Linked DNA regions of Stegostoma tigrinum. The protein of the gene in region 1 interacts with the protein of each later gene in a pairwise test. Links are inferred from orthologs where the notes say so. Each region holds a gene or a part of one and is shown in the gene's direction. Other genes may lie near its edges. The genes, in order: mfap1, amotl2a, cep70 and protein bicaudal D homolog 2-like.

Region 1 (8,070 bases):
ACTACTGCACTTAGTGACTAAGTTCTGACAGTTCGACATTAATTCGACAATATTAACTCGATGCAGAGTTCTACCAACAAAGAGTGTATAATTTGACAAGAAGTTTGTGAGAATTTGACACAGTAATCTACTAGCACCATCTACTGAGAGTAATTCATTATTTCCTGCATGTCTCCCCTGGAGCTTCCTAATCAGTTACTTTCTTGTTTCGCAGATTAGATTAATGCAAAAATCATAGTGTCAGGTTATCACCATAGCCATAAAACCCAAGTCCTAGTCTCTTTGGTTTAGTCAAGACTTCAGCCCATCCAAAATACTTTGAAGTGTTGTCACTGTTCAAATATCTAAACCACAGCAACCAATTCTTGCAAATTGCAATGGTCATGATCAAACAAACTTTCTTCTATTGGGATCAGTATTGGCAAGGACACCAGGAAGAGAACTCCTGCTGCTCTATGAATTGCCAAGATGCTCTGCCTTCTTTCAGAGGCAGAATGGGCCACAATTTAAAAACTCTTCTGAATGTTGGTACCTCCGGCAGCATAGAGTCATACAGCACAGAAACAGACCCTTCGTTCATGCCAACCAGGTTCCCCCAACTAAACTAATCACATTTGCCTGTTTGATCCATATCCCTCCAAACCTTTCCTATTCAAGTACCTGTCCAAATGTCTTTTAAATGCTGTAACTGCACCTGCATCCATCGCTTCCTCTGGCAGCTCATTCCATTTACACACCAGCCTCCGTGTGAAAAGTCACCCCTTGAGTCCCCTTTAAATCTTTCCCTTTGCATCTTAAACTTATGCACTCCAGTTTTGAACTCCCCTACCCTAGGAAAAAGACCTTTGCTATTCACTTATCTATGCCTGTCATGATTTCATAAACCTCTGTAAGGTCACCCCTCAACCTGCTACTCTCCATGGAAAAAGATTCCAGCATATCCAGCCCCTCCCTATTACCCAAACTCTCCGGACCTGGTCACATCCTTATAAATCTTCTCAGTACCCTCTCCAATTTAATAGTGTTCTTCCTATAGCTGGGCAACCAGAACTGTACGCAGTATTCCAAAACTGTCTTCACCAACATCCTGTACAGCCACAACATGACTTTCCAACTCCTATACTCACCACCTGTCTACCAATACCATCACCAACTCTGTAAGTTCTTACTTTGCCTTACCAAAATGCAACGCTTTGCGTTTATCCAAATTAAACTCCATCTGTCACTCCTTAGCCCATTGGCCCGGCTGATCAAGATCCCATTGTATTCTTTAAATAACCATTTTCACTGTCTACTATACCACCAATTTTGGTGTCATCCGCAAACCTACTAACCATGCTTGCTATATTCTCATCCAAATTATTTATGTAAATGACAAACAACAATGGTCCCAGCACCAAACCCTGTAGAAAGACTCACTGGTCACAGGTCTCCAGTCCAGAAAACAACACTCCACCACCACCAATTTTGCGTCCAATTGGCAAGCTGTCCCTGGATCCCATGTGATTGAATGTTACTAAGCAGTCTACCACGCAGAACCTAGTCAAAGGCTTTACTAAAGCCCATATAAGCAATTTCTACTCTCTGGCCACAACGATCTTCTTGGTCGTGTCCTCAACAAACCCAATCAAGTTTGTGAGATGATTTTCCATGCACAAAACCATGCTGACTATTCCTAAGGAGTCTTTGCCTCTCCAAATTCAGGTAAATTCTCTTTCTGAGAATCCCCTCCAGCAACTTAACCACCAGTGACTTCAAGCTCACTGGTCTGTAGTTCTCTAGCTTTTCTTTGCAGCCTTTCTTAAATAAAGACACAAACTTAGACACCCTCCAGTCCTCCGGCACCTCACCCATAGCTATAGATGATGTAAGTATCTCTGCTAGGGAACCTGCAATTTCTTCCCCAGCTTCCCACAATGTTCTAGGTACACTTGATTAGGTCATAGTCATACAACACAGAAACAGACCCTTCAGTCCAACCAGCCCATGCTGAATGTAAACCCAAACTAAACTAGTCCCACCCACCCGCACATAGTCAATATGCCCCTAAACCTTTCATATTCATGTACTTTCCTACGTTATTTTTAAATGTTGTAACTGTGCCCGCATCTGCCACTTCCTCAGGAAGTTCATTCCACATGCAAACCACTCTCTGTGTAAAAAAAATTATCCCTCATGTCTTTTATTAATTCTCTCCTCCCTCACATTAAAAATATGCTCCCTAGTCTTGAAACTCCCTATCCTAAGGACAATGTCTCACAAATGTATCTACCTTTTTGCATTTTCAGACCTTCAGCACCTCTTTTTCTGTAAAGTGAACTATTTTCAAGACGTCATTATTTATTTCCTTAAGTTTTGTCAATTGTATCTATTTTTCTCCAGTAACTACAGTTGTGAAATATTCACTTTGTACCTCTCTCATCTCCTGTGGATCCGCATAAATATGGCCTTGTTGGTCTTAAAGTTTCCTATTCTCTTCCTAGTTGCTCTTGCGCACTTAATGAATTTGTAGCATCTCTTTGGATTCCTTATCTGCCAAAGCTATCCCATATCCTCCTTTTGCTCTCCTGATTTGCTTCAGCCAGCAGGAAGCCTGACAGCTCACTGTTCAACCGCCTTTGGTTCATCATTATCATTATCATCATCATCATTTGTGGTCCCTTGCAGAGAAGGATGACTCTCTTTCAGTCTCAGGGTTTGTATGTAGGTGGCTGTACAGACCACTGCAGCTACCACAGGCTCTATTACACTTGGGTCAGTTAGTGCTCACTCAAAGGGTTGGTGCGACAGCGCTCTCCTTTTGCTGTTTGCACCTGGTTTCCACTTTTTCCCAACGGCAAGTCTCGAGATACTGGGCACCTTCCTGGGTGCCCCTCCTCCATTTTGGCCAGTGATTCCCAGGTGTCTGGGGGAATGCTGTATTTTGTCAGTGAGACCTCAAGGGTAAATGACGTGAAGAGTCATGACGGCTGCCAACTTCTGCCCTTCGATTTTGTATCTGGTGGGGCATGCGACCAGTGAACCCAGAAAAATTGAAGGTGAATGTGCAGTCACAGCAGGGCTCAGAATCACAGGCGTCTCGCTGGTTTGGATTTAATGATGCCTCCCCACATTCCAGTTGTGGAGCAGCCATTAGGCTGTGGCTGTCATGAAAATAGTAGTTTCCACGGGAGACACCATTGCTGCCGTGGGGAAAGCAGTAGCGGTCACTGTGTGTACTATGTAACTGCCGAAGTAGCAGTAGCTGCTACAGTGTGGCCTTTGCGGAGGAGGTCATTATTTGGCTGTATGCAAGGCCACGGTGACCATTAAGAAGGCCACGTTCAGGCTCAGGGTAGGCAGTAATGGCCACATGATAGTTGTTGTAGATGTGGGGTAAGTGATTATTGTGACCGAAGGGAAGGCAATAGCAACAGTGGGGCGGCTATTTTGGATGCAGAGCAGCTACTGCAGCTGTATAAATAGCCATTCTCGCAGCCCAGGTCAAGGGAAGGTGTGAGGTAAGGAGGGTGCAAAGATGAAGTGATGGGTCCCCTTAATCCCCTCAAGGGATTCACTTCATCTATACCTGACATATGCTTCTTATTTTTCTTACTTCCTGAGTACTGGGAAGGTCAGCCGGTCTTTGGTATAAAATCCCATCAGGTAAACTTTGTACTCAGATGCTAATGAGCTAAAATGGAGATGAGCAGAAATATTTTATATTTGGCGGATTTTTATATCTGGAAGACCTGGTGGAGTCAGATTCCACCGAAAGGTTTAAAGGACAATTAGTTGAAGAGGAAAAGTTTACAGGGGAATAAGTGAGCATCTATTAGCACAGTCAGAGTGGGCTGAATAGCCTTTTTCTTTGGTGGAAGGTTCAGCTTGACATTAACAGGTATCTGGATAGCTTCTGAGCTTCTGCATCATCTGAAGATGTGGTAAAGTAGAAAATAGGTGCGGCAAAATGGTTCATTTTTCAGCCAGTGTAAGCAGAATGAGCAGGCTGGTTTCCTTCTGGCTGCCACAGTTCATTTTCTATATGCAGGAAACTTTTTATCGTCTGACACCAAACGGGACCAGGAATGTGCTGATTGGTCAAATATTATAGATAATTAAGAGGTTCACATCATCAATGTAAATGTAATGTGGGGGTATACACATTTTTGGCATAAATTACTTAAATAATAATGTAATTTTGCCTTAAATAAAACTTACCAGCAGACAGCCTTCTCATTTACACCCTCAAATGACTATTGGACAGTGCGGTAGATACAGCCGTAAGGTCGTTGTGCACAAAAACAGAACCTTTGGTCCAATAAGTCAATGCCAACCAGGTATCCTAAGTAAATCTAGTCCCATTAGCCAGCATTTGGCCTATATCCCTTTCAACCCTTCCCATTCATGGACTCATCCAGTTGCCTTTTTGATGTTGTAATTGTACCCAGCTTCACCACTTCCTCTGGCAGCTTATTCCATACATTCCCTCTGCGTGAAAAATGTATCCTCAAGTCCTTTTCAACCCTTTCCTCTCTCATTTAAGAACCGATACGCTGTAGTTTTGGACTGCCCCACCCTAGAAAAAAAGCGCATTGCTACTCACCCTACCCATGCCCCTCATGATTTTATAAACCACTATAAGCCTCAGCCTCTGATGCTCCAGGGAAAATAGCCCCAGCCTGTAAAACGCATCCTTGTAACTGAACCCACAAACCTGGCAACATCCTTGTAAATCTTTTCAGCACCCTTTCAAGATTAATAATATCTTCCCTCAGACAGGGAGACCACAATTGGACACAGTACTCCAGAGGTGGCCCAACCAATGCCCTATACAAGCCCCGCCCATATCCAAACCACGCCCACCTACAAAGCCCCGCCCACACGCGTGACCGGTGCAGTGACGTCAAACGCCAAAGGCATAAATAAGGCGAGTTCCCTGATGAGGTCATCACTCCGCGACTCCTGCCCGCCATCTTGTGGTTGTTGTGTAGGTTGTTTTGTTTGAGTTCGGCCTCTGAAAGCTGCAGCGCGAACCATGGCCGCCCCGCTCAGCCTGAACGCCAAGCAGCCGCCGATTCAGTCCACGGCCGGAGCCGTGCCCGTCCTCAATGAGAAAGGTGAGTGGAACCGAGTCCCCCCAGCCCATCGATACAGTATCCGCACCCCCCCGCGGCTCTCGGTACAGAGACCTCCCCCTCCTCCATCCCCTGGGCTCTTGGAATAAGTAACACCCTGAACCCCCCCCCTACCCCCGGCTGTCGGGACAGAATCTCCCCCCCCCCCCTCCCCGAGCTGTCGGTACAGAATCTCAACCCCCCCCCCCCCCCCCCGAGCTGTCGGTACAGAATCCCGCCCCACCCCCACCCCACCACACCCCACCACCACCCACCACCACCCCACCCCCCCCAACACCCCACCCCCCCCAACACCCCACCCCCCCCAACACCCCACCCCCCCCAACACCCCACCCCCCCCAACACCCCACCCCCCCAACACCCCACCCCCCCCAACACCCCACCCCCCCCAACACCCCACACCCACCAACACCCACCCCACACCCCACCCCCCCACCCCCACACCCCCCCACACCCCCCCACACCCACACCCCCCCACACCCCCCCACACCCCCCCACACCCCCCCACACCCCCCACCACCCCACACCCCCCCACACCCCCCCACACCCCCCACCCGTCGGTACAGAATCCCGCCGCACCCCCCCCCCCCCAGCTGTCAGTACAGAATCCCCCGGCTGTCGGTACAGAGACCTCCCCTCCTCCATCCCCTGGGCTCTTGGAATAAGTAACACCCTCACACCCCCTCCCCCCCCCCCCCCCCCCCCCCACCAGCTGTCGGTACAGGGAGCTACAAACCCCTCCCATGGGCTCTTGGTACAGGAGCACCCACTCCCTCGGGCTTTCAGTGCTGGGGGTGACTGGAATACACAGGGATACAATGATCCAGTGAAAGCTGCATTCTGCTGAAACATTTTTGGTGTGCTATTCAAATTGATGTTCCCTCTAGCCTCAGTGTCCAGCCCCTCCTTCCCCTCAACACCTGTCCCTCATTACTACCTCTTGTGTTCCTTTGGTCCTGACCCTAAAATGAACTGCTGAACCTGGATGAACTTGCTGCATTCCTTCTCTCAGAGCTACATTGATGAACATGTAACTGAGTGTTTACAAGACACAATCTAAAACACACTCAGCCATCTCTGATCCACACAGTGCGACCCCTATCGCTGCACTTGTTCTCAACCATAGTTGAATAAATGCTATGCCCCAATTTCTTTGTGGAATTTCACAGTTTAATTATGGAATTGCATCAGCTACTTGCTGCAGCCCCTGGTTCACCTTATTACCAAATTGCGCCTTAATATCCCTCAAGCAATTTTTCTTCCTTGAGTACCTCACTGTTTTACCCCTCTCAGCCAAACTGCTTGCACCACTTCATTCTTGGTCCACTGCTACCTCTAAGGTGCTCTCCTTCTCTTGACAGTCATACAGCATGGAAACAGAGCCTTCGGTCCAGCCAATCCATGCCAACCACGTTCTCTGTTAAACTCTTCTCTGTGACATCTTGTCCATAGTGCTATTAATCTTTGTCCCGTCTTGGCCAAACTGTAATAGGAGCGCTAGCAACTGGGCTTCTTTGGATCACAATGCTGATGACCCTGTGGTTACTGTAGTAATGGCCTTTGCTGAATGCACCTCCCTTTTGTGCCAGGTGAGGTGTCGATGGAAAAAGTGAAAGTCAAGCGCTATGTCTCTGGTAAGCGACCTGATTATGCGCCAATGGAGTCCTCGGATGAAGAGGAGGAAGACTTCCAGTTTGTGAAGAAGCCAAAGGATGCAGAGGCAGAGCCTGAGGTGCCAGAGGAGCTGGCAAACGACCCTCGTCTGAAACGTCTCCAAAACCGACTCTCTGAGGATGTAGAGGAAAGGTGAGAGAATCTGAAGCTTCTGGTCCTGCCAGGCAAACCCAAGATCATTTTTATGTATGACATACAAAAATTGAAATTGCTGGAGAAATGCAGCTTTGGGAAAGCAGAATCAACATTTTGACTTGTGTCCCTCCTTCAGAAGTCATAATATTGACCCTTTTCTCACCACATGCTGTCAGACCAGCTGAGTTTCTCCAGCTATTCCTATTTTTGTGTTTCAGATCTCAAAGGTCCACCATTCTTTGTTTTATGTTATTTTTATTTGTTTCTGAAAATGACCTGGTTCCTCCCTTAAACGCATTGCCTGATACTGAGCTACATAGATCCTGAAGGGTCTGGATAAAATGTTTGTCCTCAATTGATGGTAATGGGAACTGATCAGTAGTTTCAGTGCCCTTCAGTTAGTGAGAGGACTTAAAAAAAACAGAATTGTTGTTACTAATTAGGAATTGAGCACATAGGCCAAGCTCACATTTTAGCATCAGAGATAATGGGAACTGCAGATGCTGGAGAATCCAAGATAACAAAGTTTGAAGCTGGATGAACACAGCAGGCCAAGCAGCATCTAGACCCTAGGGCCTAGACCCTTCATCCGAAACGTCAGCTTTTGTGCTCCTGAGATGCTGCTTGGCCTGCTGTGTTATTCCAGCCTCACATTTTGTTATCTGACATTTTAGCATGATTGATTTGATTTTTGTTTTAAGCTTTATTGTCACGTGTACTCAAGTACAGAAGTACAGTGAAAATTGTGTAATGCCACCACACATGTCACAATCATAGGTACTTAGGTACAAGTAGTAACATCGATAATACTTTAGTTTTAACTTTATTTTTCTGCTTATACTAAGAACAAAGAGAAACAAAGTGAAAAGTTAACATTGCAGTCCTTCCTGGTATTAAGTCAAAAAAAGGGAACAGAGGTTAAAGTTCAACAGTCTTTCTTATGTGCTGTCCCTACAAGGGCTCAGTCTCCTTTGCTTTGGACCACTCTCTGGGAAACCTCAGGCTTCCTCAATGCTATTGATAAATGGCACTTCAGATGCTGCAGTCCTCTTTCAAATGCAATGTTTAACCAAATCCCATTTGCCATCTCAAGGAATGTCAAAGATCCTGCAGTATTCTTTCCTGGTGTCCTGGACAGAATTCA
Region 2 (8,420 bases), on another chromosome or scaffold:
CTTTAATGGCAATCACAATGCTCCTGGTTACAACTAGTTGCAATGTGAACATCACCTACCTGAGTCAGTTCCAAACATTTAACTATGAAAGGTGGTAACGAAAAGCCAGAGAACTATAGACTGACAACAGATAGTACGAACTGCCAATGCTGGTGTCAGAGATAACGCAGTATGGGCTGGAGGAACACAGCATCAACTTTCCTGCTCCTCTGATGATGCCTGGCCTGCTCTGTTCCTCCAGCTCCGCACTGTGTTATCTATAGATTGGTAAGCCTGACATCAGTGATGGGTAGGTTGTTAGGCAGGATTCTGAGGAACAGGATTTAACATGCATTTGGAAGGACAAGGACTCATTAGGAATAGTCAACATGAACTTACGCATAGGAAATTATGTATCACTAACTTGATTAAGCTTTTTGAAGAAGTGACAAAGAAGATTAACAAAGGCAGAGTGGAAGATATTGGACTTCAGTAAGGTGTTCGACAAGGTTCTGCATGATAGATTGGTTAGTAAGGTTAGATCAAATGGAATACAGAGAGAACTAGTCATTTGAATACAAAATTGGCTTGAAGATGGAAGAGAGAGCATTGTAGTGGAGGTTGGTTTTAGGAATAGGGGTGTGAAACCAGTCGTGTGCCACAAGGATCAGTGCTGGGACCACTGATTTTTGTCATTTATATAGATGATTTGGAGGTGAGCCTAGGAGGTATGGTTAATAACTTTGCAGATGGCACCAAAATTAGTGGTAGAGTTGACCGTGAAGAGGAATATCTCAGATAACAACAGGATTTTGATCAGATGGGCTAATGGCAGTGACAGATGGAGTTCAATTTAGATAAATGTGATGTTTTGCATTTTGGTAAGGCAAACCAAGGCAGGACTTATACAGGTAACATTTGGGCCCTGGGCAGTGTTGCTGAACAAAGTACCATGGAAGTGGAGCCACAAGTAGGCTGGGTGGTGGACAAGGCATGCTTGGCTTCATTGGTCAAACCACTGAATATAGGAGTTGGGAGCTCATGCTGCAGCTGTACAGGTCATTTACTTGGCCACTATTGGAATACTGTGATTAATTCTGATCTTCCTATTGTAGGAATGGTGTTGTTAAACTTGAAAAGGTTCAGAAAAGATTTACAAGTATGTTGCAGGGATTGGAGGGTTTGAGCTATTGAGAGAGCCTGAATTGGCTGGAGCTTTATTCCCTGGTGTGTCAGAGACTGAGGGCTGCCCTTCTAAAGGTTTGTAAAAACATGTGGGGCATGGATAGGCTGATTAGCCAAGGTCTTTTCCCCAGGCTAGGTAAGTCCAAAACTAGACGGCATAGGTTTAGCAAGAGAGGAGAAAGATTTAGAAAGAACCTGAGGGGCAACTTTTTCATGCAGATGGTGGTGTGTATTTGGAATGAGCTGCCAGAGGAAGTGGTGAAGGCTGGTACAATTACAACATTTAAAAGGCATCTGGATGGATTCATGAATAGGAAGGGTTTAGAGGGATATGGGCCAAATGCTAGCAAATGGGACTAGATTGATTTAGGATATCTTGATGGCAGGGGTGAGTTGGACCAATAGGTCTATTTCTATGCTGTACATCTTTATGACTGTGTGGCTATGATTATGGCACAACTGCTAGATCTCATTCTTCTGTCTTCCATTTTCAAGTTCTATGTTTCTAACTTTCATTCTTGTATCCCTGATCAAGTTCCCAGCCTTTCTCATTCTCATCCATGACAATGATAGCAAATTCTGTTACAATGACATTGTTTGTGTTCCTGCTGATATGCAACCTGTCCAGCTTGTACAGTTCCCGAGATACCAATTCCAATGCCTCAGGATCTAAATCTCTCCCTCCTACACCACTTTCTTCATGCCAAGTCATTCATTCAAATATTCTATTCTCCTATTTCCAATCCTGCTCATATGTGGTACTGGGAGTAATCCCAAGATTGCTATATTTGTGTTCCGACTGTTTGAATGTATTTCCCAGCTCCCTGTATTCTGCTTGAAGGATCATATTTCTCTTTTTGCCTATGGTCTTGGTTACTGATATTGACTATAGTGTTCTCCCACACTCTTCAGAATACCTTTGATCCTGGCACCAGGGAGACAACACACCATGCTGGAGTCACATCTGCTTCCACAAAACCATTTATCTAATACCCCCATGATTATCATTCACCTTCAGATCTGACTGAACCATATACAACATCATTTCACCTTGCTTCATCACTAAAAATGCTGACATATCCAGGAAGACACAAGAAATGGAAAGCTCCTTGTCTTCACCACTGAATATCTTGGTAAACATTGCTGTCCTGTTCCTTCCACCCTCACCTCCAACATGAAGCACTCATGACTTTCTATTACAAAGACTGAAGAGATCCATTTGGCAGCCTCTACTAATTCAGTCATCTCTTCTGTACTAGGCAAAGCATCCCCTAAGGTTTCTTTCCATCCTAGCTCTGAGCTCGCAACTTTCTGTAGTTTCTCTGCCACTTTGGAGAAAGGCATCAAACCACTCCATCATCAGTTGAACAAAGAGACAGTAAGAGTAATCAAAACTGTAGAGTCACTGATGTTTAAAAATCCATACAAAAACTGTGAATGGCACAATGGCTCAGTGCCAGGGAGCCAGGATTCCATCCGCAGACAACAGTCTGTGTGGACTTTGCACATTCACCCCATGTCTGTGTGGGTTTCATCCGGGCACTCCAATTTCCTCCCACAGTCCAAAGATGTGCAGGTGGATTGGCCATTGGAAATGGCCCACAGGATAGGGATAAGTGAATGGGTGGCATGCTCTTCAGAGGATGTTTGTGGACTTGATGGGAAGAATGTCCTGCTTCCACACTGTAGAGATTCTATAAGGAGCAAGCTGCCTCAGGGATGGTGTATGTGTAGACATCCGATGTCTGAGGTACTCTGGACTGGTATCTCAATGGCAGGCAAGGCAGTCTATAAAACCTGTCTCTATGGACAGACATTTTTTGAACTTTCTTTGAGCTCTTGCCAAGCAGCCAAAACACCCCACTCTCCAATACAGTAATCCAATGACATGAACTGTGCTCCTGCCAACAACTAATCTGCACTAGCTGTATTTTGGTACTCTGTGGTATCACTGAGAACCTGTACTAATATTTATTCCTCTTTAACTAGCCTGTACATCTTCAACTCAGGCACTGTTACTCTTTGACAATCCAATCCCTGGAGTCAAGGCAACTCATTTCTAATTTTATGATTATATGTTTTAATTGCTTGATTCATAACATTTTGATTTTGGATCTGGGCAAAGAGAATTTCTTGGTCCTTTTAGTAGTGACTTAAACAACCTGGAATCAGGGTGATTCCTGCCAGTTGGTGTTCAGGTCTGGTGAAAGAAGTGGGAATTGAAATTTTACTGAAGAGATGGGATAAAGAGGGGATTTCAGAATGACAAAACTCTAACTAGTGTGCCACAGGGATCAGAGCTGGACCCACAAATATTTACAATGTGAATTGATGACTTGGTTGAGGGAAGTAAATATATTATAGACACATTTGCAGATGACACAAAATAGTTGGGAAAGGAAGTGGTGAGGATGATGCAAAGAGTTTGCGAAGGGATACATACAGGTTAAGTGTGGGCAAAATCTTGTCAGAGGGAATATAATGTGGGGAAATGTGAGGTTATGCACTTTGGCAGGAAGTATAGGCGAGCTGAATATTGTTTAAATGGAGAAAGATTGCAGAAAGCTACAGAACAGAGGAAGTCTTCAGCTATGAATCACAAAAGGTTAGCATCCAAATTCAGCTAGTGATAGGAAAGGCAAATGGAATGTTGGCCATTATTTCAAAGCAAGGTATTTAAAAAGGGGAGTCAGACCACAGCTGGAATACTGTGAGCAGTTTGGTCCTCTTCTCTAAGGCAGGATACAGAGGCATACCCTCCAGTCCAGAGAAGGCTCCCTCCTCGTTGTTGAGGGACTGTCATTTGAGGAGAGGCTGAATAAGTTGGGCCTGGATTCATTCGAATTTAGAAACATGAGAGGTGAAATTATTGAAACATATAAGATTTCTAAGAGACTTGCTGGGGGAAGCATGGAGAGATTGTTCCCCCTCGTAGGAGAGTCTACCACTAGAGGGGATCATCTATGAAGAAGGGGGTCTCCCTTTTAAGGCAGAGATAAGGATTTCTTTTCTCTGGGAGGTTGATGAATGGTGGAATTCTTTGCCACAGAGGCAGTGGAGGCCAGATCATCAAGGCTGAGATAGACAGCTGTTTAATTAGCAAGGGAATGGAGGGTTATGGGGCAAAGGTGGGAAAGTGTGCTAAGGATTTATCAGATCAGCCATGACCTTATGGAAAAGTGGAGCAGACTTGACTGGCCGTTTTACATCCGCTCCTGAAGTTTAGTGAGACCATTCGACCTCCAATATGTTTGCCCATTGCCTGCTGGGTGATGGAACTGTGTCCCACATCCCCATTTATCCTTTGTTGTCTCTCTCCCCAGTGCAAATCTCCATACTGGTGATATTGGAGCTCCGCTTTGAAATGTGAGTATCGGACCAGTAAGTGCCACTCGCCAGCTCTTCTTTGTCGTATTTATTATCTTCTGCGGTATGCTGTTAAATAAGAACCAAAAGAATTGCGGAAGCTGTAAATCGGAAACAAAAACGTTGCTGGAAACGCTCAGCAGGTCTGGCAGCATCTGTGGAGGAGAAAAAAAGAGTTAACGTTTCGGGTCCGGTGACCCTTCCACACGGCAATGTGTTCTGAGCTTTTCCAGCAACTTTGTTTTTGTTCCATGCTTTTAAATAAACTCAACTTCAATTCATCTACTTTGAGGGCTTAAAGATTGCATAGCCCCCGGGATTGGGAAGGAGAAGAGTCCCAGATATCCATCGCTCCGGTGTCAATGCAAGCTGCTGTTTGAGTTTCTCCAGCATCGCCCCCCACCCCCCAGTTTAGATGGTATTTTCCGCAGTGTTATCACTCTGTGCTGTGCCGTGAGATTGAACTGTTTGCTCATTGTGTGTGCCCTCTGCAGGTTGAGTCTTGGTGTGCGGTAGGAGCTGCCTTTGATAGAGCCAGGAACGCGCATTCCTGACATTCCTGCCGCTGCTGCATCGCCCCGGCTGCAGCTGGGATCTTGCCATTCCATAGCGAGCAAGCAAACAGGCGGCTAGGGCTGTCCGGTTCCCAGTTCCCACACCACGGTCACTTCCAGCACCGAAATCTGAGCTTGAGGCAGAGCTAGGACTCTGTCCCTGATGTGAAAAACCCCACTCCAGGTCAGTCTCCCATTTCTCATTCTATTATAGTGTCTGTTCAGCCTTTTGGGGACAAGCTCGAACGGATTTCACACTCGAGCCTGCCGAATAGTCTGGAGAAGGTGCGACCTGTTCCGAGTGCTTCCCCCGGGTTCATCTGCTCACGGGAGAGTTATTTGCTCGCCTTACGGGTGTGAGCAGCCGCATTTTCACAGGTCTCAGCCGGAAACTGTCCGCCTCCCCGAGCCGTTTCTCCCAGTGCCGGCGTGAGCTGATCTCCGTCACACAGCCTACTGGCTGCTGAGCTCACTCAACAGGAATGTGCCAGCCAAAAGGAGCCAGTGAAGGAAATATACGCCGACTTAGTCACGATTAGACTGAAATATTCTTCCCGTGTTGCTAAAGATTTCAGATTCAAATTTTCACCCAGTGTTGGTAAAGATTTCGAATTGTAATTTTCACCCAGAGTTGGTAAAGATTTCGGATCGTAATTTTCACCCAGTGTTGGTAAAGGTAATGAGTTATAATGTTCACGCTATAGTGAAGATAAGGATTGTAATATTCACCCCAAGGTGGTAAAGATTTTAGAATGCAATATTGTATTGTAATATTTACTTTTGTATGAAAGATTATAGATTATAAAATCTCTCTGTATTAGTAATTATATTATAGTGCAAAAAATAAAGTGTACCTTTATGTTATTACCGTTTATAAGAGAACAAAAAAACTTAGTTTACTGTAAACTTTACAGATGGGAGAGAACTTTATCAAATAATAATTAAGTTCGTAAACAATTAGGCTCTTTGACATGCTGCAATCTCTGATGCAATTGTTACGCTGAAATTCTTCAATAATCCTTACAGATGTTAATGGCAAGAAAATCTTTTTATGTTTAACATTAGAGATTTTTGAAGAATATTGAAAATATATGGGATGATGGATTAGTGCTGGAGAGTGAAATGAGCAGACTTTTGAGTTGAGTGCAGTAGTGGATTGAAAGATGTTTTCACATTGTTGTGGAATGCATGTTTTGCCCCAGGATGTTGCAGGTTAGTGAATGAGCTATTGTTTTGGAAATTTGCAGGAATTCAGTTCCATTTGCAAGTCTGTTGTATTTTGTTAGTGGCCCCATTCAGGGAAAGCCATACATTAAAAAAAGTAGCCCAACTTTTCAAAATATACCTTTATTTGTGTATCAACTATTAATATCTGATGATCTGCTTTTTTCACCTTCTGCAAATGTATTTTGGGACCAGATCTGTTTCCTGCAAGTTTGAATGGTTAGAAATGGTAATAATTATTATTGGCATTTTAGCTGGAAAAAACACTTGCAATTTTGAGGCAGGGTTTATGAGAGTGGCCTGAAATTCTGTTGATCTGGAGTAAAATCAGAAACACATCTAAATTGGAGGAATAATGGGATCTCTTCACTCTTGATCACCCATCCATTCTCACAATGGACTAAGTGATTTTGTGCTTTCATTACTGCCAGCATTGCCTCAAATCGTTTCAAAAATCTTTGTGACTGTAGTCCAGTGGTCGTGCAGACCCTCCTTTACATGTTTTTTTAATAATCCATTCCAAATTCCTGTCAAACAAGATTTAAAATTTAAAATGAATTTCTCACCTATGTTGTGAGTTTTACAACATGTTGTCTGATATAGTTAAAGATTTAGGATCAGATAAAACACAGGCGGTTTTAAATGTAGGGGCTTTGAGAAGAAATCACTCACGATCTTTAAATTTCACAACTTATTGTGGAAGTTTCCCACAGGATATTCAGGCTAACAATTGCTCAACGTCTCAGCAGCCAATCCCCAACTCCATTTTCCACCCCCCCCCCGCCAGATTCTTGCAATAGTCATTTCATACTCACAATTTAATGTCTGACATTCCTCAAATTCATGCCATTATCTTGTGATGATAAAACAACTACCCTGAGCCTGGATAGCTGTTGTTGCAGCCTGACGTGCTGTCACCAGGGAAACAGTTCCCAGGGGCATGCATGTGGGCAGCATTTGGCTGGGGCAGGCTCTGGAACGCAATGTGACAGGGTTAGTGCTGCTAGATTGTATCCTGTGTCATTTTCTTGGAAATAACTTCAGTATTTTTGCTGAGGACGAGGGGGAGTAAGTGTTGGCAAGTTGTGCACATACTGTTCGAGCTTGAAAGAAACACTGTACGATATAGAGTCCTGTGCTTGCCTGTAAATCACTCATTGTGCCCATTTCACAAACTTACTGCACTGAGAATTCAATGGGCATGTGTAGTTTTGCAATGTTACAATTGATTTCAAGACTTAATTGGTATAAAAAATGTATTGAATTTGGTAGATTGAGGATGCAAGGGAGATTTATTAGAATAGTATCAAGGCAAAGAACACTTGTTATGTGGAGAGATTGAAGAAGCTGGGATTGTTAGTCAGAGAAGGTAAAGGGACTATTTGACAGGTTGTTAAAATGATAAAGGTTTTTGTTTTGGGGAGTTGAAGTGTTCCCATTGGCAACAAAGCTGGATAACTAGAGGACACAGGTTCATAGCGAGTGGTAAAAGAATCTTGGTGGAGAATATTTGAAAAAAGCAACTTTTTATTATCTGCCTGAAAGGGTAATGGAGTTAGCTTCAAGAACTTTCAAAAAATAATTTCCAAAAGGAAACGATTTTCAGGACTGTGTGAAAGCAAAGGGGCTGAAACTGAAACTCATCTGAAGAGTTGACACAAGCATAATGGGCTGAATGGCCTCCTGACCTTATGGGTTCTATGAAGTATGTAACAATTAATTGACGGATCTCATTGTTTGATATCAAATGTGTATACATGTATAGTGTGTGTGTGTCTGTGATGTTTGGAATTCATTACCTGTTTTGTGTTTTAGGATCTAACCATTATCTGAGCTACAATGAGAACAGCAGAAGACTCGTCAGGTACGGTCCTACACAGACTGATCCAGGAACAGTTGCGTTATGGGAACCTTACGGATAATCGCACATTGCTGGCTATCCAGCAACAGGCAATGAGGGGAGGATCCAGCAGTCCCCAGTCCTCTTTGGAAAGCCTCACTCAGGAGGAGTGTCAAATTGTCCAGCATTCTACCCGGCAGGAGCCACAGGGTCAAGAACACCAGGGTGACCATGCTCACTCAGAAAACCTGCTACATCGCCTACACCAGCTT
Region 3 (7,620 bases), on another chromosome or scaffold:
AATCTCACCACAGCGGATGGTGAAATTTGAATTCAATCCAATTTCTGGACCACAAAACCAATGGTATAAAAACCTGTAGGATTGACAAATATCTAGACAAGGAAAATAGCCTCTGTGTGAGTCTAGACCCATAGCAATATGGATGACTTTTAACTGCCTTCCTAAATGGCATATCAAGCCATTCAGTTGCATCAATAACAACTTCAGTTGTATAAATTGCTAGAAAGCCAAGCTAGTTGGACCACCTAGAATTTAGTACCTGAAATTACAATGGTAAATGCAGCCCTGTTGACTCTGCAATATCCTACTTACTAACACCAGGAGGTTTGTGCCAAAATCAGGAGAGGGTTTCACAGACCAATGAAACAAAAGCCTGACAAAGACATTCACAAGGAATCACACCTTACACATATTTCAGAGAACATTAGCACCCCTGGGTATAGACTGGCAAGACAGATGCATAGTGTAGTGTGATGGTAACACAATCAGCACAAAACATCCTGCTGATTACCAACTATGATCTCCCCCTGCCTCCTTCCAAGCAGATGAATCAGTACACTTTTGTGTACAACACCACTTGCAGAAAGTAATGAGGATGGTTATGGCGAAGAATGTTCTGTGGGTTTGGGACTTCAATGTCTACCAAGAATTGCTCAGCAGTATTACTACTGATGAAACTGACAAAGTCCTCAAGAACACGGCTGGATCTGCTGCAGGTGGTGAGGGAATCAAGAGGGAAAAACACCGCTAACCTCACCCTCATCAAGCTGACTGTGGCAAATACATCTGTTTATGACAGTATCGGTATGAGCGACCACGGTATGGTGGTCTTCTGTGAAGACGAAGTTCCATTTCAAATTGAATAAACCTTGCACTGTTCTGTGTAACACAATCACCACGTGAAATGGGATAGATCAGATAGATCTAGCACGTCAAGACTGGGTATTCATGAGGTGCTGTCGGGCATTCGAACTAACAGAATTGTATTCCAATCTATGGCCATAAGACCAGGAGTCTGAGAGCAGAAATAGGTTATTCAGCCATTTAATTTTGCTGCATCATTCAATGAAATCATGGCTCATCTTGTAATCCTTAACTCCATCACCTAAACTTTTCACCATAATCCAGGAATGCCTTATTAATGAAAAATCTATCCATCTCAGCCTTGAACATACTTGATGACCCAGTTCTACAGTCCTCTGCAGTAAAGAATCCTGCAGATTCATAGAGTCAAACAGCATGGAAACAAACCCAGCAGTCCAATTAGGCAATGCCAATCATATTCCAAAACTAAATTAGTCCTAGTGCCTGCATTTGGCCCACATCCATCCAAAACTTTCCAATTCATATACTGATCTCATCTCAAAGTCCCTACAGTGTGGAAACAGGTCCTTTGGCCTAACAAGTCCACACCAACCCTCAGAGCATCCGACCCAGACCTATCCTTATAACCCACCTAATCTACACATCTCTGAACACGACGGGCAATTTAGCACAGCCAATCCACCTAGCTTGCACGTCTTTTGACTGTGGGAGGAAACCAGAGCACCCGGGGGAAACCCACTCAGACACTGCTAGAATGTGCAAACTCGACACAGACAGTCACCCGAGGGTGGAAGTGAACCTAGGTCCCTGGTGCTGTGAGGCAGCAGTGCTAACAACTGAGCCATCATGCCAACCTGTAAAGAGGGTTGTGGTGGGGTCTGGAAGGTTGGTTGAGGACTTATCCAAATGTTTTTTAAACACTGTAACTGTACCTGCATTCACCATTTCCTTTAACAGTTCATTCCACACACAAACCACTGTGTGTAAAAAAAAATTGCCCCTCGCCATTCTAAAACTTTCCCCTCACACCTTAAAAATATGCCCCCTAGTTTTGAATTCACCCACCTTAGTGAAAAGACCTTTGCTATACACATTTTCTTTGAGTCTAATGATTTTATAAACCTCTACAAGGTCACCCCTCAACCTCCTATGCTCTTGTGAAAGAAGTCCCAGCATATTTCTATAACTGAAACCCCCTCATTCCAAGCAATATCTTGCTAAATATTTTCCGAACCCTCTCCAATTTGATAAAATCCTTCCTAACCAGAACTTTAAGGATAGACTGTTAACCTGCTTTTGTTTGTGATAATAGTCCTACACAATCTACTAACACTCAACTAAATCGTTCTTTAAAAAAAAACAGCTTGGCTATCAATGCTGCTGGTTTGATTTCATGGTGAGGTTTTTCTACCATCTGATACATATGAAATCTTGACCATGTAAATTATCTATGTTTCAATGCCTGTGTTTTCTGTATTCCTATATGCCCTGTCATAGGAACTCCATGTGCATTTTTTTCTTATGATATCTGGGCAGATATTTGATGAACAACCATTCAGACTTTGTCATCAAAACTTTGCTTGTAGTACATAAACAGTCTAGAACTCCGGCAGCCTCAATGTTAGCTTTCTGTGTTAACTCACTTCACTCTGGATTTGCTCTGCAAGCCTCTAATAATGAAAAAATGCCAAACACTTCTTTTGAATTATCTTAAGAACATTCTTAAGTACAGTTTCAGCTACCTTGGCATCTGCTGTGGTATTACTGTGGTCCAGCGATAGATTTTCTGTGGCTATTGCTCTGGTTGCTAATCAGTAAAGCAAAGGAACAACACCTACTCCTGCATCTCTGGTCATATAATAAGCCACTTGCTTTGGAAGAAGTATTCGTTCACAATTAAAGAAATTTTAGTTTAAAATAAACACTAAATCATGGGACACTTTTGAGTGAAAGGTGGGAGGTCTGGAGGAGACTTGGGGAAATTTTTATTTTGCGCGGAGGGCAGAGGATCTGGAGTGCGCTGCCTAGAAGGCTGGCTGAGGTGATTAAACTCCCATTCTTAAAAAAAAACTTAGATGAACACTTGAAGTGACATTGGTGGTTAAAATTGTTTCTAAGATAGTAGGGACTGCAGATGCTGGAGAATTCTGAAGAAGGGTCTAGGCCTGAAACGTCAGCCTTCCTGCTCCTCTGATGCTGCTTGGCCAGCTGTGTTCATCCAGCTCTACACCTTGTTATCTCTGATATTGGTAGTTATTTACTTCATTTGCTTTACTCGTTAAGATGCCGTCCTAAACACTGATTACAATCATGAGTATATTTTATTCTAGCCTATGAAACGGTTGGTAAATACTGACTGAATATATTTGCTTTAAACGCCTTCAACTAGTTGGACCACCTGGAATTTAGTAAGTTCAGCGATAAACAATGACTTGTTACTTCATTAAAATGTCAGGAGACAGCCATGTGTGATCTGCTCTAAAAAAAATACTAAATAGAAACCAGAAGAACTGCCGATGCTGTATGTCAGGAACAAAAACAAAGTGGTTGGAAAAGCTTAGCAGGTCTAGCAACATCTGTGAAGGAAATAAAAAAACAGAATTAGCGTTTCGGGTCCGGTGACCCTTCCTCAGAACAGAATCTACTTTTTTGATGAAGGGTCTAGGCCCGAAACGTCAGCTCTTGTGCTCCTAATGTGCTGGTTGACCTGCTGTGCTCATCCAGCTCCACACTTTTGTTATCTACATTAATCCCAGTTTACAGCACTAATGACTTCGATAAGGGACTTAAAAATTAACTCTAAAATAGGAAGGTAAAGTTTAATCTTAGACTGAGCAGGAATCACAATGTTTCTAAAGGAAAATTTAAAGGCCACCTGTTATTTATTAGCTCTGAGCTCCTCCGCGTCTGGCCAACACCGACCGTAACTATGGCAACTCGCAGCCACAACCTTCCTCGCGACAGCGGCCGTGTTCTTCACATAGATATCCAAGGAAAACCCCGGATCGCTGCCTGATTTGCATCTGACACCTTCAGCAGTAAACACAGCCGTCAGGATAGTCGTGCACACAAAATACACATTTTCCCCTAACTCCCTCCACTGCTGCGCAGACCAGATCTCGCGAAAACACTCACCTCTCTCCCGCTCCAACGGGAAGAATCCCCGTTCGCGTTCCCTAATCCGATTGGCTAATCCGATTGGTTCATTGCATGTGATTTCATTGGCTAACTCCCACCGATCCGATTTGTTTATTCATCCTCTGATGAAGGGTCCAGGCCCGAAACGTCAGCTTTTGCGCTCCTGGGATGCTGCTTGGCCTGCTGTGTTCATCCAGCTTCACACTTTATTATCTTAGATTCTCCAGCATCTGCAGTTCCCATTATCTCCGATTTGTTTATTTCCTGCTTTCTGATTGGTTTTTTCTCTGTATGTAACCTGAGTGGCTAATTTGTACTTGAGGGTGCGGTTACCTTGCGCGTCGACGTTCAGGGGGTTGGCTCTGCCCATGGGAGCGTATCATCTTGAGGGAAAGGGAGAAGCTGATAAAGGCGATTGAAATTATTGACGATGATAAAGAAGCTAAGCAGTAAGTATGTGTGTTTTGGAAACGGTTTGAATTTGTTTGTGGTAATATTGGAAAAGTTGTAGTAAACCTTTTTTTGAAAAAAAAAACGATGTTGATAATATGGAATAACTGTAATTTGCTCCCCCCCCCCGTATCGCTTTGTGGTGGGGTCTCCCCTCCCGCCGAATGTCCGGCTGTTGAACAGCTCGGCCTGTGGAGGGTGGGTTAACGGCGGTTGCGTATTAGAAAGAAGAGACCGGAGGGAGGCGTTCATTCATTTTTGAAACTGTAGATACAGTAAGGTGGAGAATTGGTATGTATTAAGCGACGATATTGGCCGAAATATTATTCTGCTAGTGGTTTGAAGTAGTAATTGAGGTACAGTCATTGATTCAATATTTCGATATTCACACAGCTTTCACTCAGGTTGTTTGATCCAGCTGAACGTTGCCAGCATTTTCTGTTACTATTTCTGAGTATGTACACTCTTACTTGCTCTCCGTTGATAACTGCAACGAACCGTTTCTCCTACTTATCATTTACAGATTTTTCAGTCTGCAGATCCGACAACTCATGTCATCTCTGCTTTGTGGCTGTGGCCTGTCTGTGAATAAGATATGCATATATTTGCTATTTTAAAAATGACATGTACTTCATAGAATATGAAAAAGTGTTTGATCATGTTTATCGCCCAAAAAAAGGTAATAGACATGTTGCTGAAATATGATCAGAGATAATGGGAACTGCAGATGCTGGAGAATCCGAGATAACAAAGTGTGGAGCTGGATGAACACAGCAGGCCAAGCAGTATCTCAGGAGCACAAAAGCTGTCGTTTTGGGCCTAGACCCTTCATCAGAGCGGGTCTGATGAAGGGTCTAGGTCTGAAATGTCAGCTTTTGTGATCCTGAAATGCTGCTTGGCCTGCTGTGTTCATCCCGCTACACGCTTTGTTATCTTGCTGAAATGTGATATTGATAATGAAGATAAGAATCCAAAGTCTGGAGAGGTTCTAAGTAGTGAACACTGGCCTACAAAGAAGCAATGAAATGCATTTTGAGTAAAAGGAAAAGTGTTGTAAACCACATTATTGTTCAATTTATTTACAGAACAAGTGTTTAGGATTAATCAGAAGCAATAACTAATCTTGTGTGCTGATGAGCACATTGCTGCTTGCAGAACTGGATGTGGGCTAACAAAATATCAAGTAAAATCTATAAATTCAGAATATTCATTGTGTGTATACCAAAAAGGCAATAGAATGATTGTTTAAAAATGAGTACATTGAAAGAAACCAGAATGAAATGAATGTTGTTACCTGAAATAATTACTTAAATTGGCTACTTAGGACAAACGAAGACAGAAGATGACAGATGCAGTGCAGAGGTTAGAAAAATGATTGAGATAGTTAGAAATGCTTGTTGTGAAGATGGAGACTGTGATGACCAGAAAACTGAAGTTTGTAACAAGGCAAAAACTGAAGATATCACATTTTGTGTTGCTTTGTATCTGAACAGGAGTTCACGTACAATAGGAATCTGTGCTTAAAAAAGGGGAAGAGCATCCAACAGAGGCTCGTTGTTCTCTTATATGTCCCTGACTTTTTTAAAACAAAGTGTGGAGCTGGATGAACACTGCAGGTCAAGCAGCATCTCAGGAGCACAAAAGCTGACGTTTCGGGCCTAGACCCTTCATCAGACCCCCTCTGATGAAGGGTCTAGGCCCAAAACGACAGCTTTTGTGCTCCTGAGATGCTGCTTGGCCTGCTGTGTTCATCCAGCTCCACACTTTGTTACCTTGGATTCTCCAGCATCTGCAGTTCCCATTATCTCAGGGACATGTAAGAGACCAACTTTCCCTTCCTACTGGTAGCATATTAAAGGAAAGTGAGCTCTTGTGGGAGTGGCCGCTTTGGAGAAGGGCTGTGAGCTTGAGTTCAACGTGTGGGCTTTTGTAATGAGGGCAAGTAACATTAAGATGCAGCAAGGTCAAGTCTTTCCTTTTTCCTTTTTAATCTAGTAATTTCCAGAGGGGTAGTAATGGAAGTTGGAGTGGTATGCACCCCCTGAGAGATCTGGGAGAGGTCATGTATCCCTGACAACTGTGTCCACCTTGCAGCTCCTCTTGAACTTTGTGGATGGGTTGGAGCAGTAGTTGGACTCATTGCGAAGTATACTGGAGGCAGAAAGTTTTATAGCTATAAGTTTTGGGATATGGCCAAAACAAAGGTTCAGTCACTGATGTGTTTGCCAGGAGGGGCAGGCAGGAATTGTACGAATCCACTGTAGCTATTCATCTGTCAAAGAAGTATATTAGTTTGGATATTAGTGGGTTGTGGGGAGGGAAGATATGGGCTCTTTCAGGATAGCAACTGCAGCAGTTAGGACAGTGGCACCATGATTGACTCTGTTGTACAACAGGGAGGATCGAAGTTTAGGTGAGTGGTTGTAATAGGAGACTCTGTAGTCTCGTTCACAGATGTTTCTCTGGCCATGAGCAAGGCTTCTGGATGATATGTTGCCTCTCTGGTGCAAGGTTTGAGAATGGCTCTAAGTGGGCACATAACATTCTGAAACGGAAGGGTGAGCAGTCAGAGATCATGGTCCATATTGGTACCAACGGCAGAAGCAGGAAGAGAGATGAGGTCCTGCAAAGAAAGTTTAAGGAATAAGATAGAAAAACGAAGAGCAGGACTTCTAGCATTGTAATCTCTGGACTACACCCTGTACCATTTGCTAGTGAGGCCAGAAGTTTTGAAAGATAATGTGGTTGAATGCGTGGCTGAGGAGCTGGTGTAGGAAGGAGGGCATCAGTGTTCTGCATCGTTGGGATCTCTTTCAGCGCAGGAGAGATGGATACAAGAAGGACCTGTTGCCCCTAAACTAGAGGGGTACCAATATTCTTGCGGGGAAGTTCGCAAGTGCCACTCGTGAGGGTTTAAGCTAGTGCTGCAAGGAATTGGGAATCAGTGCAGTGTAAGTCACTTGAATAGGAAGAGCAGGCCTGACAAGGTTATTGAACTAGATCAGAGTGGCAGCCTGAAGTGTACTTATTTCAAGGAGCATAATAGTTAAGGCAGATGAACTTGGAGAACTGGATTAGTAAAAGGAACTACAATGTTGAAACTTGTTTGAGTGAAGTTCGGTACTGGCAGTTCAACATTACAGGATTTAGACGTTTCATGCATGTTAAAGAGTGATACAAAGGACTGGGGGAGTTGCATTACTGATT
Region 4 (7,454 bases), on another chromosome or scaffold:
GAAATATCTTTGGCAGATAGAATTAAAGAAAATCCCAAGGCATTTTATAAATATATTCTATACTAACAGTAAGAGGATTACCAGGGAAAGAGGGGACTCTAGTAGAGACCAAAGGAAAAATCTGTGCATGGAGCCAGAAGACATGGGTGAGGTCTTAATTGAATATTTACCATCTGTTTCACAAAGGTTAAAGACAATGTAGCTGGATATTTCAGTTGGAATGGTGAGGTTCTATAGCATGTTAAGAAAAAGAAGGTGGAAGTTTAGCAGGTATAAAGGTATGTAAATCCCCAAGGCCTGATGCAATGTATGACAGGCTGCTTCGTTGGGGTAAGCGAGAAGATTGCTGATGCCCTGGAATGAGATATTTATTACTTTGCTACCAACAGGTAAAGTGCCAGATAACTGGAGAATAGATAATGTGGTTCTTTTGTTTAAGAAGGCCAGGTAATTGCAGATCATCCAATCAGATATCGGTGGTAGGGAAATAATGAGAAAATATTTCAGGAGACAGGATTTATTGGCATTTGGAAAGGCAGGGATAGATCAGGGATGATCGGCATGAACTTGTTGGAAGGATATCGTGTCTGACTAATTTAGTTGAATTTTTTGAAAAGGTGACTAAATATATTGATGAGGGTAACAAAGTTGATGTGGTATACGTGGACTTCTATAAGGCCTTTGACAAGGTCCCACATGGAAGGCAAGCCAAAACGTAGGAGTCCATGGTATCCTAGACAAGTTGGCAAACTGGATGCAAAATTGGTTCACAAATTGGAGGCAAAGAGTGACAGTGGTAGGTTGGTTTCATAATTGGAAGCTAGTGATCAGCAGCACATCACTGGGTTTGGTGCTGGGACAATAGCTGTTTGTTATGCACATTAACAACTTGGATGTGAACATAGAAGGTATAATGAGTGAATTTGTAGATGACACAAAAAAATGGACATTTTGTTAATAATGAGAAGGATGGTGTCAGGCTACAATCTGATATGGTCAGCTGGTAAATTGGGTAGAGCAATGGCCGTTGGAATTTAATGTGATAAATGCTGCACTTTGGGTGATCTAATAAGCGTAGGATATACACAATGAATGGTAGATCCATGGGGACTGCTGAGGGAAAAAAGGACATTGGCGTCTAAGTCAATAGATTTGATTTGGTTTGATTTTGATTAATTATTGTCACATGTACCTAGCTACAGTGAAAAGTTGTGTTTACCTGCAGTACAGGCAGATGATACATTACAAAGTGCATAACAGTAATAGAACAGCGTGAGGAATACAGTGTTGCAGCTTCGGATCCCTTGAAGGCATTAGCACAAATAGACAGGATGATAAAGAAAGCATAGGGGATGCTGATCTTTATTAGCTGAAGCATAGAAGAGAGGAGCAAGTAGGTCTTGTTACAATTTTATAAACATTTATTAGGCCACAGAAGGAATCCTGCATTCTGGTGCCACATTATTGGAAGGGTGTGATTGCATTGGAGAGGGTGCAGAGGAGATTTACCAGGATGTTGCCTGGGATGGAAAATCTCAGTTATGAGGAGACACTGAATAGGGCGTGCTTGTTTTCCTTGGGGCAGAAACAGAGGAGGCTGAGGGGGATCTGATCGAAGTGACAAGGTTATGAGAGGCATAGACAGGATAGATTGTGAGAATTCTCTCCCCATCGTAGATGTGTTTACAATCAGAGGGCATACAGCATGTTTAAAGTGAGGAGTAATTCATTAAGGGGGATCTGAGGAAACTTTATTTCTTCCAGAGGGTGGTAGAAATATGGAACATGCTGCTTTAGAGGTTGGAGGAGGCATATACTATTGCACCATTTAAGAAACATCTGGATGTGCACTTAAAATGCCAAGGCACAGAAGGCAATGGACGAAGCACAGAACAATGGGATTAGTGTATCAGTGATAATGGGAACTGCAGATGCTGGAGAATCCAAGATAACAAAGTGTGGAGCTGGATGAACACAGCAGGCCAAGCAGCATCTCAGGAGCACAAAAGCTGACGTTTCAGGCCGAGACCCTTCATCAGAGCCTCTGTTATTGCTGGCACCCATACCATATTTAAAAGGATGCTGTGAATCTGGTCAATCACTATAATTCTGAAGCTGCTTTACCCGGTGACAGTCAGTTTGAACACATAGCAATAACAGAGCCTCTGATGAAGGGTCTTGGCCCGAAACGTCAGCTTTTGTGCTCCTGAGATGCTGCTTGGCCTGCTGTGTTCATCCAGCTTCACACTTTGTTATAATGGGATTAGTGTAGTTTGGTACAAAAACACAAGTTGCTGGAAAACTCAACATGTCTGGCAGCTTCTGTGAAGAGAAAATCAGAGTTAGCGTTTCAGGTCTGGTGACCCTTCTTCAGAGCTGGCTCTACCTGAAAACGTCTATAAACTATTGTGGCATCCCAATACACTTGCAGGTCACTCAGGAAGCACAGACTTGCATTACATAGCACACCGGCAACTGGTATTGAAAGGCTGCTGCAGGGACAGGCACTCAGCTCACAGGCTGGGCAAAGGCTGCATCTTAAGGCTGCCGGCTTGCTTTCTAAGAACTTGTTCACCTGGGTTCTCAAAGTATCGGTGTCCTGCCTTGCCTTGCCTCAGCCCAGCTCCACAGCCAGGCAGCTTGCTTTGATGGCAGCAGTCCTCAGTCAATGGGGTATTCATCTTCTTATACAGCAAAATACAAAATCTTAGTTATACCTCAGGCCTGCAGCTTACATTTTTCCAATGTGTTCAAACTGACTGTCACCGGATAAAGCAGCTTCGGAATTATAGTGATTGTCCAGATTCACAGCATCCTTTTAAATATGGTATGGGTGCCAGCAATAACAAAGTGCGGAGCTAGAGGAACACAGCAGGCCAGGGAACATCAGCAGAGCAGGAAAGCTTATGTTTCAGTTTGGGATCCTTCTTCATAAATGTGTATGTTACGGGGTTATGTAGATTGTGTATAATATGGTGGGTATATTACATGGTGTGTTTTATGTTATACATAGTATATTGTGTTTTACAGGGTATATAATATATTGTATATTTTATATTTATATATCACAGGGTGTATGATACATTATATGTATTATATTGTATATATTGTAGGTTATATGATATATTATATATACAATATATATTACAAGATGTATGATGTATGTTATGTATACTACACTATATATTACAGGGTATGAGATACATTGTGTATATGACAAGGTGTATGATTTACTGCATTGATTGCAGGATGTATGATGTATGATATATTATAAACACTACACAATATATTACAGGTATGAGAAATAGGATGCATCTGCAGTTCCCATTATCACTGATACAATTTTAACCTCACTGCGAAGCCTCTTCCAGGGATGCCTAAGCTGAAGAAGTTACCCTCCTCCCTCTGGACCAACCTCAGGGAATCTCTCTCCCACTGCAACTCCCTTGTCTCTCCATGTTTGGTCCACCTCCCCCTCTCTCCCTATTTATTCCAGTTCCCTCTCCCCATCCCCCTCTCTGATGAAGGGTCTAGGCCCAAAACGTCAGCTTTTGTGCTCCTGAGATGCTGCTTGGCCTGCTGTGTTCATCCAACTCCACACTTTGTTATCTCGGATTCTCCAGCATCTGCAGTTCCCATTATCACATCAGAAATAGGATGTATATTTCGTATATATTGCACAGTATTTTAGATTACACGGTGAATAAGAGACTGTATAGATTACAAGGGGTATGATGTATTGAATAAATTAGGTGTATGATTTACTGTATATATTTTAGTGTGTATGATATAGTGTATAGATTACAGGGTGTATAGTTTATTGGATAGATTACAGGGTGTATGATAAACTGTATAGAACACAGGGTGTGGGGACCACGCAGTGTCCTCAAGCGGCTCCTTGTCTGTGGGGAAGGAGCTGACGTCAGCAGCTGGGAAGGAATGTCAGCGGCAATGGCGACGGGATGGTGGAGGAGGGGAGCAGCCTAACGGGGCGGAGACAGGAGTAGCAGACCCAGGAGCCGGCAGAACGGAGACGTTGGGGGAAGCGTTCTCTGTCTTTCGCACTTGGTCGCCTTCATTTTCCACCCCCTCCTTCAGGCTGAGTTTCGCTGCCTGGCCGGTGGGCCAGCCGGGTGAAGCTATGGTGGCCAAGGCAGCGAGGACCCCGTTTTAACTCAGCTGACCCGGGATCCGGACCGAATTGGCCGGCCGAGAAGCGAGCGAGCGGGCGGCGGCGCCATGCAGGCGGAGGAGCCACTGATGGAGAGCGAGAGTTTCCTGCGGACTGAGGTCGAGCGGCTGAACCGGGAGCTGAGCGAAACAACCCAGGAGAAGATCCAGGCGGCCGAGTACGGGCTGGTGGTGTTGGAGGAGAAGCAGAGCCTCAAACAACAGTATGAGGATCTGGAGGGCGAGTATGAGACAGTCAGACAGGAGTTGGAGCAGCTCCGAGAGGTGAGGCTTATTGAGCAAGGAAAAAGGATAATAATATCACCAAATCTCGATCCCGATTTTTGTACAGACGGTTTTGTTTTAAAAATAAGTTAATCATTTGCTTAAAATGTATTGGTTGGATTCTTCAAAAAAAAACTGACCGAAGACCCACCCATTGCCCAAGAGCGTCTGACCGTTGACAGATTCAAGCAGCAGCTCCCAGCATCTGCCACCTCACTGCTCAATAATAGTTGTTGTGCTGTGCCAAATGGCTCACAGTGGCTTGTTCGTACCGTTGAATCCCCTACTGTAACTGTATGAATTCTCGCAGTGGAGGAATCCCTTTGTCCTCATCTTTCAGCAGATTGTCATAGATCGGATTAGTGACCACTGTTAGATCCACGGGAAGCATGGTCAGAGATCCATCAAGCAGAGGCCACTAGATTTAAAAAAAACACTTCCCCCTCGGCATAAGTCAAATGTACAAACTAGGTAAATCAGCTAATTAGAGTTTGATGGCCAGTCAAATGGCCAGACAATGCAAAATTGTAAGATAAGTTTTGTTTTAATAACGCTTTGACAAGACCTAAAAAAATTCTCAAGAGAAAATATTTCCACGAATCTTTGGCACGAAGAAATTGCATAAAATATGTTGGGCAGGACTAGACTGTTGAGCCAAACTAGTTTAATACATCTAGTGACTAAGATGTTCAGACCGGAAAGAAAATGTTTAGATATACAATATTGTACTATCACAGTACATGAAGGTAAAGTGCTCCTCATATGCAGACATTCTGTAACTGCCTTGTAAAATGAAATACTTATGAGATGTGAATCATTGCTTGTCTTTGGGTTGTATGTTTTTTTCCCCACTCAAGACATCACTGGATTTGACTTGACGCCTCCTTTCAGAATTCTGGATTAGATTAGTGACTCATTGGGAAAGTCATGCTTAGCTTGCCTGCTTGGTTGATACAGCATGCTGATACAAAATTGAATCAATTACATTCTAGAATGAAGATTTCTTTTGGTTTTAACTATTATTGACTTTTTTTTGGTTCAAATCGATAATAGACTTCAATTTCTGTTTTGGAAAAGGTCAGTTTGTGGATATAACTACATCTATAGAGCACATCTTTTTACAAGTTTATGTTAAATTGATTAAAAATCAAATCTCAATCTGGATTGTGGAGCATTTTCATAATGAAGAAAATGTATTATTTCATTAGGATAACATTCGGATTGAGATTTTCAAATGTGAGCTGTTTAGAGCATTTGAATAATAAATTATCGGTTTAATGAAACGTCAAAGCATTGTAATGTCATACTGTGTTTGAAGGAAATATGTTAACGTTTGCAAGTCATGTTAATTGTATGTACTGGAAGTTTCAATATTTCTCTCAGTATTACGTGGGATATGAGGCTTTTGAGTGTTTATTTTCATATTCTTTAATTGAGCTGATATTTATGGGTCTGAATGACATTGGGTGGGAAAACTGCTGTCTTCAAATTTTAATGTTTAAACATTTCAGTTACAAATCAAGCAAGTAGTTTTAGTTTGATATATGCAGGAAAGGATCAGAAATGGCATATTGGACTTCTAAGACAAGAAAGATACATGAAAGGACTTGTATTCACCTTCACAAACTCAGGTCTAACTGATATTTATGGAAATCTAAAGAGATCATTTCTCTGCAAATTTGTTCTATTAAGCAAAGTTAAAAATGAACTTTGCAATCTCAAGGATTTGAAAAGATATTTTTTCAATGAGTGATTTAAACTTTTTCTGCTGTAAATAATAAATTACTCAACAGAAGATACTATGGAATATAACACAGTTTTTTTTATCTTTTTAACATTTCGTTAGATAATTCCTTCACATTTATTACAGGTTGTGTGGAAAATGGGAAGGGTCACTGGATATTTTTAATCAACCCATTCAGATCTATCATGACGCCTCCGGAGCAGGTGGAACTTGAACCCAGACATTCTGGCCCACAGGTAGCACATTGAACAGTACAGTGCAGTACAGGCGCTTCGGCCCTCAATGTTGCACCGACCTGTGAAACCAATCTGAAGCCCATCTAACCTACACTATTCCACTATCATCCATATGTTTATCCAGTGACAATTTAAATGCCCTTTTAAGTTGGAGAGTTGACTGCTGTTGCAGGCAGGGAATTCCACACCCTTACTGATCTCTCTGCTCATCCACACTGCCAAGAATCTTACCGTTAGCCCAGTACTCTGTATTCTTGTTACTCCTTCCACAGTAAATCACCTCTCACTTTTCCACATTAAACTCCATTTGCCACCTCTCAGTCCATGTCTGCAGCTTATCTATGTCCCTCTGTAACCTGCAACATCCTTCCGCACTGTCCACAACTCCACCGACTTTAATGTCATCTGCAAATTTACTAACCCATTCTTCTATGCCCTCATCCAGGTCATTTATAAAATGTAGTGGCCCCAAAACAGATCCTTGCGTTACACCACTAGTAACTGAACTCCAGGATGAACATTTCCCATCAATCACCACTGTCGTCTTACAGCTAGCCAATTTCTGATCCAAACTGCTAAATCGCCCTCAATCTCATGCCTCCGTATTTTCTTCAATAGCCTACTGTGGGGAGCCTTATCAAACGCTTTACTGAAATCCGTATACACCGCATCAACCGCTTTACCCTCATCCACTTGTTTGGTCACCTTCTCCAAGAACTCAATAAGGTTTGTGAAGCACAACCTACCCTTCACAAAACAGTGTTGACTGTCCCTCATCGAATTATTCCTTTCTGGATGATTATAAATCCTATCTCTTATAATCGTCTCCAACACTTTACCCATAACCAAAGTAAGGTTCACTGGTCTATAATAACCAGGGTTGTCTCTATTCCCTTTCTTGAACAAGGGGACAACATTTGCTATCCTCCAGTCTTCTGGCGCTATTCCCGTGGACAATGACAACATAAAGATCAAAGCCAAAGGCTGTACAATCTCCTCCCTAGCCTCCCAGAGAATCC

What was found.
Region 2: the proteins of mfap1 (region 1) and amotl2a interact in binary tests that used the Homo sapiens proteins (3 or more experiments, as listed by UniProt). The two-hybrid records come from large-scale screens. The link is inferred for Stegostoma tigrinum from reciprocal best matches to the Homo sapiens genes MFAP1 and AMOTL2.
Region 3: the proteins of mfap1 (region 1) and cep70 interact in binary tests that used the Homo sapiens proteins (3 or more experiments, as listed by UniProt). The two-hybrid records come from large-scale screens. The link is inferred for Stegostoma tigrinum from reciprocal best matches to the Homo sapiens genes MFAP1 and CEP70.
Region 4: the proteins of mfap1 (region 1) and protein bicaudal D homolog 2-like interact in binary tests that used the Homo sapiens proteins (3 or more experiments, as listed by UniProt). The link is inferred for Stegostoma tigrinum from reciprocal best matches to the Homo sapiens genes MFAP1 and BICD2.

The regions. Positions count from the first base shown.
Region 1 is NC_081389.1:22,688,486-22,696,555, forward strand, and holds the start of mfap1 (microfibrillar-associated protein 1), read left to right. Parts: upstream 1-4,932; 5' UTR 4,933-5,017; coding exon 5,018-5,099; intron 5,100-6,706; coding exon 6,707-6,923; intron 6,924-8,070. UniProt on the Homo sapiens protein: Involved in pre-mRNA splicing as a component of the spliceosome.
Region 2 is NC_081367.1:1,412,576-1,420,995, reverse strand, and holds the start of amotl2a (angiomotin-like 2a), read left to right. Parts: upstream 1-5,006; 5' UTR 5,007-5,268; intron 5,269-5,403; exon of another isoform or gene 5,404-5,760; intron 5,761-7,195; exon of another isoform or gene 7,196-7,301; intron 7,302-8,123; 5' UTR 8,124-8,147; coding exon 8,148-8,420. UniProt on the Homo sapiens protein: Regulates the translocation of phosphorylated SRC to peripheral cell-matrix adhesion sites. Required for proper architecture of actin filaments.
Region 3 is NC_081360.1:66,673,249-66,680,868, forward strand, and holds the start of cep70 (centrosomal protein of 70 kDa), read left to right. Parts: upstream 1-4,067; 5' UTR 4,068-4,412; intron 4,413-4,578; exon of another isoform or gene 4,579-4,704; intron 4,705-7,620.
Region 4 is NC_081364.1:29,078,245-29,085,698, reverse strand, and holds the start of protein bicaudal D homolog 2-like, read left to right. Parts: upstream 1-3,942; 5' UTR 3,943-4,239; coding exon 4,240-4,455; intron 4,456-7,454. UniProt on the Homo sapiens protein: Acts as an adapter protein linking the dynein motor complex to various cargos and converts dynein from a non-processive to a highly processive motor in the presence of dynactin.